2 linked regions of the Daphnia pulex genome follow. The protein of the gene in region 1 interacts with the protein of each later gene in a pairwise test. Links are inferred from orthologs where the notes say so. Each region holds a gene or a part of one and is shown on either strand. Other genes may lie near its edges.

The links.
Region 2: the proteins of E3 ubiquitin-protein ligase Su(dx)-like (region 1) and hsp90 co-chaperone Cdc37-like interact in binary tests that used the Drosophila melanogaster proteins (3 or more experiments, as listed by UniProt). The link is inferred for Daphnia pulex from reciprocal best matches to the Drosophila melanogaster genes Su(dx) and Cdc37.

What each region holds. Positions count from the first base shown.
Region 1 is NC_060026.1:2,734,149-2,738,410, reverse strand, and holds the start of E3 ubiquitin-protein ligase Su(dx)-like, read right to left. Parts: upstream 3,055-4,262; 5' UTR 2,703-3,054; intron 2,622-2,702; 5' UTR 2,516-2,621; coding exon 2,422-2,515; intron 2,358-2,421; coding exon 2,213-2,357; intron 2,152-2,212; coding exon 1,995-2,151; intron 1,924-1,994; coding exon 1,775-1,923; intron 1,696-1,774; coding exon 1,372-1,695; intron 1,305-1,371; coding exon 1,149-1,304; intron 1,086-1,148; coding exon 977-1,085; intron 901-976; coding exon 734-900; intron 654-733; coding exon 525-653; intron 394-524; coding exon 151-393; intron 42-150; coding exon 1-41. Other genes in the region: alanyl-tRNA editing protein Aarsd1-B-like, read left to right, coding at 3,179-3,217, 3,288-3,416, 3,482-3,734, 3,812-3,930, 3,993-4,109, 4,181-4,262.
Region 2 is NC_060026.1:6,136,503-6,140,502, reverse strand, and holds hsp90 co-chaperone Cdc37-like, read right to left. Parts: upstream 2,221-4,000; 5' UTR 2,095-2,220; coding exon 2,062-2,094; intron 1,891-2,061; coding exon 1,757-1,890; intron 1,689-1,756; coding exon 1,524-1,688; intron 1,439-1,523; coding exon 1,058-1,438; intron 985-1,057; coding exon 795-984; intron 731-794; coding exon 560-730; 3' UTR 501-559; downstream 1-500. Other genes in the region: U1 small nuclear ribonucleoprotein 70 kDa-like, read left to right, coding at 1-100, 157-227, 290-393. UniProt on the Drosophila melanogaster protein: Co-chaperone that binds to numerous kinases and promotes their interaction with the Hsp90 complex, resulting in stabilization and promotion of their activity. Required for cytokinesis and chromosome segregation in mitosis and male meiosis.

The sequences.
Region 1 (4,262 bases):
TGGGATTTAGCACTTCGTGTGACAGCAAGAGAAACCATTCCCTGTCAAAACAAAAAAAAAATGAATAGAAAAATCAGTTTCCTCTTCAGTGTCCAATTAGCGCACACTTCAAGGGACGCAAAGGGGGTATTTAATTAATAATAATTTTACCTAGCCACTCCTCCGTAATCAAGGCCCTCCTCGCCGCGGAAAATGACGTACAGCCGCCTGCGGAGCTCGTAGGCGGGCAAGCGCATAATCTGATGGTGCGAATCTTCAAAGAGCGTCGACCGGTTGAGAGTGATCTTGATGTGTGATGGTAAGGCATTACTCTGACACAGATAGCGGAATTGAGATAGCTTCCAGCGGAATGAGCGCTCGTAAGCGATGGGAACGCCATAGGCACCTTTCGGACTGCGTCCAGCGCAATGAGGAAAAAAAAAACACAAGCAATTAACACACACAAAGCAATAAAAGCACTTTCAAGTAGCGGGCGAGCTGGATAGAACACGTTGTGGCAGTAATGATGGACAACATAATCATACCCTTTAGTTGCGCCTGGTCTAGGATCTTGGAAGGTGGTCGTCCGGGTATTGTGATCCACAAAATAATGAACACCATCGTCCGTGATTCGCATTTCCCAGCCGGGAGGCAAAGGATCTTCTTGGTTCATCCTGAAATGAATCAGAGAAAGAAAGAAATGAGATATAGATTGATTGAGGGATTTCGATGAATTGACAAGTGAGAGACACACCCCTGGGTTCTCGGATCCTCCCACTGTGTGGTGCGATTCTTGTGGTTGACAAAGTAGACCCTGCCATTAGGCTCGACACGTTTCTCCCAGCCTTCTGGCAAAGGTCCAAGCGGATCGCTCTCTTCCGTACCCGTCACCACCGCCGTTCCGGTGCTGACTCCTCCACCCTAGTTAGGAAAAAAACAACAACAACATCAATGCAAGTGACGTCACGATTAGCTCAATGATCAATGAATCAACTACCTGTGGAAATAGGAATCTCTGGCTGCACTGTTGAACAACATGCGCTCGCTGGCCTTGCCACTGTTCGTAATGTTGCAGACGTTCAACATTCGGTCTTTGCCATGTCGTCCTGGTTAATTTACAAATACGAATTAATTTAATTGAAAAAGTTGAAACCATTAAATAAACTTACGATCGAGTGTTGTGATCCACGTAGTAGGCTCGACCACGAGGGTCTCTTCTCATCTCCCATCCGGCCGGAAGAGGCTGCGGGCGCTCCCACGTCGTACTCCGCGTGTTATGATCGACGTAGTAGCGCCGGTTGTATTTATCGAAACGGACTTCCCATCTAATGAAGACAAAATAACGTCAGTTACATTTCAAATGGATGTGATACAACAACAGCATCAACTCACCCTGGCGGAAGAGGTTCTTCGGGGCCAGGTGGAGCAGCCGGAGGTGCTGTCGTGGCTGGGGTAGTTTCAGTCCTCGGAGCCGGTGCTGCCACTGTCCCGTTGGGAGTCCTGGACGGCGTCTGCTGCGGTGTTCCGTTGGGTGTCCTGGATGGAACACCAGTTACTACTGCTGGAATGGGGGCGGCTTCAACATCATTCGATCGGGTACGAGGACGAGCTCCGCCACCATTTTCGCCCGTGGTCAAATTCGTGACAGGAGCTACTGCTGCACCGTTCGTCCGGATCTCAGCGGTTGAGCTGGATTCACCTGTTTCTCCGTTCACTCTGATGATTAAAAAAATGGGAGCACACAGATTTATAATGATGAATCGCTCGCTTCCATTTGAACGCTGCACATTATTACCTCGTTGCGCTTCGACTACTGCCTGTCAACAATTTTGGATCTACCCTCATTCCGTCCATCACAATAAAAATTTCTCCAATCTTCACTTTAGAGCTGCGACCGTTAGCTGCTTCTGTCGTTGATGCAATGCTAGTATTCTTTATTTCTCCCTATTGATGCCAGAAATATTGAATAATTTTGTTTGTTTTGTGTTTTTCTAGTAATCAAGTATGAGGCTTACCTTAACATCCAGAACAAGACTGGTTTTATCAAATTTCCCTTGTTCTCGTACTAGTTGTTTTTGGATATCTATTCTGCCTTCTCCTAGAACCAAATCTCGCTTGAAAGTTGAATGACTGTAGAGCCTCAGTAGACATTTTGAATTGATTTTCACAAGACTAGAAAAATAAATAAGATAAGACACTTGCAAATGTGCTGAATCATAGCAACTGTACATACACAGTAAAGGATTCACAAGACCAAGTGGGATCATGTGTGTTCTTCACAGCCTCAGTTTTCCAAACCACTTTCCCATCAACCAAGATTTCAACATATGGTGAAGGCTTTTTTGTTATGCAAACTGGGTCAACAGTGGCCTTTAGAACTATATTGCATAAATCAGATTAGAACTTTTCCAATGTAAAGATTAAATATCAATTGCATTGAACCTGAGAGATTTAGTTGATGAAAGTGGGAGTCATTGTTGTTCCTAGAGCTTGCGCTATTGGAACTGGTTACAACAGCTGCAACAGTTTCAGCCATTTCATGGAGGTCAGACCTTGGACGTTGCTGTAGTTCAGAACTACACCAGATACTAAACTGATCTGGTGTTTTCAATACTATCAAAGCCCATAATCAGAACAGGAACCTGTAAAAAATTTAAGAGATAAGATGAGTACTGATTTTTGACGTCATCACTGATAAAGATTTTGCTATGCAAACCACTAACCTGCATCCACACTGCTACATGGAACATGAATGATGTTTCGGTGTTGAAATTAATTTATAATCTTTATAACAACCAGGCTTTAGGACTTTAGAAAAATGTCACTGTGAAGTGAAAACAGCAAAAAAATACACCTACAGGGCTCAGTTGAGTATTAGCGCGAAAGTAAAATTATCTCTTTAAAATGTCAATAAACCGAAATACAAGCAGGCAGTATAAAGATTAGAAACTCTGGTGGTATTTCCCGTTGAACGAGATAAAATTATAGCTGCAATTATAGCAAACACACAAAACACAAGTACAAGACTACAAGTCTTTGCAATAAGTCACCATTTTTTCTTGGCTTAAAACACTGTTGCCAATTTCTTCTCTTAGTGTTTTCTTCAAAGTTGTAAATATTGCCAACAGATGGATTGTATTTTTGTCTGCTAGAAAGAAAAAAAAAATAACAACAGTGCAAAATTTGCCAAAAGTCTACGATGGTCTTTGAATGTCAAAAATCACCGTACAAGAAAGAGGTTCAATAAATTTTCCTTTTTGGTATTTGTATTTTCTTATCCTATTAATGATCAGTATGGTGTTTCGTAGTTTACGAGCAAAGTCGTCTCTTGTTCGCCGTGTCAGATCGAGAGGCTCGTCCAGGGGAAAAAGGAGAAAGTACAAGCATTTGAAGTCTTATTGGAAGATACCGTTTTTTTTCCTGAAGGTGGAGGCCAGGTAATTTTTACGTTAAATTACACATCCTCATATAGAATTGGTTTTAAAAATTCAAATGTCAAAAGCCTGATGACAGAGGCTTCTTGAACGGAATCCCTGTCTTTCAAGTCAAAAGAAGAGGGAAGGATGCCATCCATTTTTTACAAGACAGCCTGGATGTTGGGACTCTAGCTACAGGTGTCATTGATTGGGAGAGAAGGTGGGATCATATGCAGCAACACTCTGGGCAGCATCTAATCACTGCAATTGCTGATGCTTCATTTGGTTTCAAAACAACATCTTGGTGGCTTGGGGAATCTGTTTCCCATATTGAATTAGGTAAATTTTTCCTTCTTAACTTTGTGTTCAGAATTTTCTGTAGCATCATTGATTGACACTTAATATTAAATTACAAGATACTGTAAATCTGACTGATGCCCAACTAAAAACCATTGAAAGCCAAGTGAATGAGAAAATCAGGGAAGCTGTCTCTGTGGAAGTAAAAGTATACGAAGGAGATGCGATACCCGACCAAGTAAGAATTTTACTTTAATTGACATTAAAGTTAAATTAAAGAAAACCATATTGGGTTCGTAGGTCCGTTCTAGAGGTCTTCCCGATGACCACGTTGGTCCTGTTCGCGTCGTAACTATTTTAGGTGTAGACAGCAACATGTGTTGTGGAACTCACGTTTCCAACCTTAGTCATTTACAGGTATTGTACGCAGTTTACTACCCCCAATAGTACAAGCAATAATTAACCATCGATTAAAATACTTCATTTAGTTCATAAAGCTGCTTTATGCTGAAAAGGGTAAAAAAAATAAGACCAACCTCTTCTTTATAAGTGGAAATCGAGTGCTAGATT
Region 2 (4,000 bases), about 3.4 Mb from region 1:
CTGGTCAAGTCGCTTCTGGCGATGAGCGTCGCAAAGAAAAAGATCGAGTTAAAGACAAGAACAAGGATCGCCGGGAACGTCGCGATCGTTACAAGGATAAGTAAGCAATCAAATTATCGAATTCAACTTCAGAATTTAATGAATAATTTTTCACAGGGAACGAGAGCGTAGGGACTATGTTCGGGAGGATGGTGAACAAGTGCGAGTGAAGGAAGAACCGCCTGATGGTATTGGAATTAGCTGTTAATGAAAAATATCTATTACTAATTTGTGGAATTGAAATTTGCAGATTATGACTATACGGCCCAACAATATGATGGCTATAATCAATATGATCCTGACAACATTAAATACGAAGTGGAAGAGTCGCAATTCCAGACTGAAGAATACTAGCGTATGTTTTTATAGCAGTAACTTGTCTGTTCTTAAGGCTTTTTAACTTTACAATTTTAAAGTGAGGTGAGTATGAAACTGGAGGTAAAAACGTCAAATACACGTTATTCAAAAGCCCCAGTGTATTAATTCATTATTAATGAATATAATAATCCAAACTAGTATTTTAATTTTCTGCAACATTTTCTGCAATATTTCCAGCAACATTTCCGTCGGGTACCCACAATCCGGAGTCAACACATCTTTTCATATGAAACCGTGCTTCTTCTTCAGGTAGTGTTGAAATTGCTTGTTGAAGAAGCTCAATGTTTTGTTTTTCAAAACAATCCTTAAGAACCTACACAACAAAACACATGATTCATATATGTGGAAGGAAATTTATGTGTCTTGCTCAATTATACCTCCGGTAAACTTTCAAATACTTCAACGGGATCCAACCCTCCAGGACCAAGTCGTTTTTTCTTTTCTTCCTCCTCAGCTTCGGCAATTGCAGCTTCTATTTTCTCTTTCGCCCGCCGTTGTATACGGTCTTTGAAAGCTACAAGTTCGTCTTCAAATCCTTTACGATACTCAACATCTGCGATTTGAATTCTAAAAGAGATAAAATAGTAAACAATTCATTTAGTTATAGCTACATAAAGGACAACTTAATATAAAGATAAACCTTGAAAAGAATGAAGACACACATGATCTTGGATCTCTGTTAAGGTGCCTGGATAATTCAAGAATGAATTGCATGCAAATGCACTGATGGGCAACATGTTCCATTAAACTTGTTTTCTCTTCCATTTCTAAATTAATACACCAAATCACGAGATAGTTTGCTGTTTCTTCACAAACCAGCTCTGGATTTTCTTGAAGGAAACGCTTACTATCATCATACTTTTGTAGCATTCCATATGCCTTAAGATTTTTCTCATGTTTCTTGAAAAATTCACGTGTTTTGATTTCTTTCTCCTCTTCAGTGAGCTCTTTCACTTTTTTGGGTTGGTCAACATTGACCACAGTTTTTGAAAATCCAGGTTGACTAATTGTATCTACATTCCTAAAAAAAATATGCAAAAAAACCACAATTAAACTTTGAAATTAGACATCACATTAGGATATATTGAAGTGAATCTTTTAAATACCATGGCATCAACTTTTCCTTTTTTTTCATTTGTTCTTCATGATCTTCGAGTTCAATTTTTTTCGATTCTAATTCACTCAATTGCTTTTTCAAATCTGTCACATCAATACCTTCTTTCATCACCTGTTCATACTTACTTTTAACTTCTTTTAGTTTGGCAGTGTTCCTTTGTTAGAAAAGTTTGATTTAATGTAAACTTTAACAAAAACATTAAAGCTAGTTATTTAGCATTACTCATTTTTTGCTTTGAGAAACAGAGCTTTTTCTTGTTCCATTTCCTTCATTTTTTCTAATCTAGCTTCGTGTCGCCATTTGAACAGAGAAGGCGTGTCAACGTTAGGATGTGTATCATCCTCATCGTCAGATATCTGTAAAGTATTATGAAGTACGTGAGTGTTTAAATGAAACATATAAATAACGAATACTTAATTACGATACTTAATTACGATTAAATACTATACTGACAATAAATAGAAGGTTAGAGAACCCGCAAAAATATGGTAAAATAACAACACAACATTTTTGAAGCAACAATTTACCTCGATATTTTTCCATTTGCTGTAGTCTACCATTTTATTCGCGATAAAGTTAAGAACTTAATGGAAAAGTGGAAAGTGACAGATTATCTAAACGCTAACACTACGAATCTACGATTGTAGACTCGACAGAGTGGTGGCAGAAAACTGAACCTTTGCCTAAGTGATAACTCCAAAGAGGTACACCCCTCTGGCGATGGGTGGAGCTTGTTCCTGAATGGACTAAAGCAACTTCGTCTCTACTAAGGCCATTTTAGCTAAAAAAAGGGGGGTTTTAGTTTTAGCCTTTAGGAAAAATGAACATTATTGACACATTACACACTATTTACATAATAAAACCCGGACAAAATCGTAGCGTGGGATCTTAAAGAAATGAACCATTAAACATTTATATACGGGAAATAGGGGTCTTAATTCAAAAAATTTATTCATTATAAACTGATACTTATTTTATTAATAAAAAATGTCGTGACGATTGCAATCGTTCGATCGTGCGATCACGACCACGGTAAATTTTTAGCGATCGCGATCCAAACTGAAAAACGCGACCGGGATCGGAATTGCAGGCCAGAAATCGCTCGATCAGATTTGCGATCGTCGCTATCTTTAATTAATAAAAAAACCCTTTTTTTAAATAGCACCACCAATAAATTATTGTTTTTATTTTTATATAAAAAATTATTGTTATACATTAAAGTTTATAAAGTTTCAGTGATTAAATGTATTTTTGCAAATTGCTTTGTGCTTTGTCTTGATTCTTGAAAACGTTGGTAATCATTTCCCCTTGCCATCTAGCGGCGATCGCAAAAAAGATCACGACCTTGACATGATGTTTGTTTCTGTTAATCGGGCCGGGCTCGCGGTAAAAAAAAAATATCGGCCACAACACTGTTGATAAAAATGTGTTACAAATTTTTTACATTTTCGTTAACATTTATTATTTTAAAATTAATTTAACAGCGCGACAAAATGTTCGAGGCTTCGAGCCGTGTTTAACACGGAGTTTATGGCGGTTACCATAAACTTAAAATAAATCATTAAAAGACAATTAAAGTAATTCGAATAATACTAAAAGTAATTTTTTGTGTAAACTAATAGCGCTTATTTGTGAATGACGGTTTTTGTGAGAAGTTGATTTTTTGCGTGCTAAACTTCTTTCTATATCTGTTGCTGTGACTTCACATGTTGCGTAGTCAGCATCGCGCAGTACTCTGTTTTCACCTGGGAGTAACTCCCTTTTGAGTCCTCCTTCAAATGCATTCTTTTTTTCCTTCGAATGTCGTTTCTTTTGAGAGTCATATCTTCATTTGTACTATGGAAAAAAGCATTCCGTTGTAGGCTTTAACAAATCATGTTTCTAAACGTGGGCGAAATTCTCTTACTCGTTCGTTAGCTTTTTGTTCAATTTCAGACAGTTCGTTCTTAAAAAATTGATTCTCAGATGGGTCCTTAAATGGTTCTATGATTAAATCTTTCCATTCATTGTATCCAGTAACGGGTTCTGGGTTTTCAGGTTGGCTAAATGTTCCTGGAATGACAGAGCTAATTTTTTGAATTGTTCAGAAAAATAACGTTTTATCTGTTCTTTAAAATCGACTCTCTCGAAATAGGGAATCTTTTCTCTGAGAGGTCTAGATGTTTTTTAGTCCTTCATCGGGTGAGTAGGGTTGGGACCGAAGCGTCTGTTGCGTTTTGGTACAAAATCACTAAGGTGTCAACCCTGACGCACGGCAACGTCCATGACGCGTCGTATGCAAAATCCCCAAGTCTTATCTCTCTCTCTCTATTATCTCGTCACCCTTTCACCCACCTACTCAACTTTGAAGTTGGGTGGGTGGGTGGTTTTTGACGAGGGCTGGGTCGTCGGGCTTCGTCTCCAATCCAATGGAAAAAACAAGACTTGGGGATTTGGTATACGACGCGTCAAGGACGTTGTCGTGCG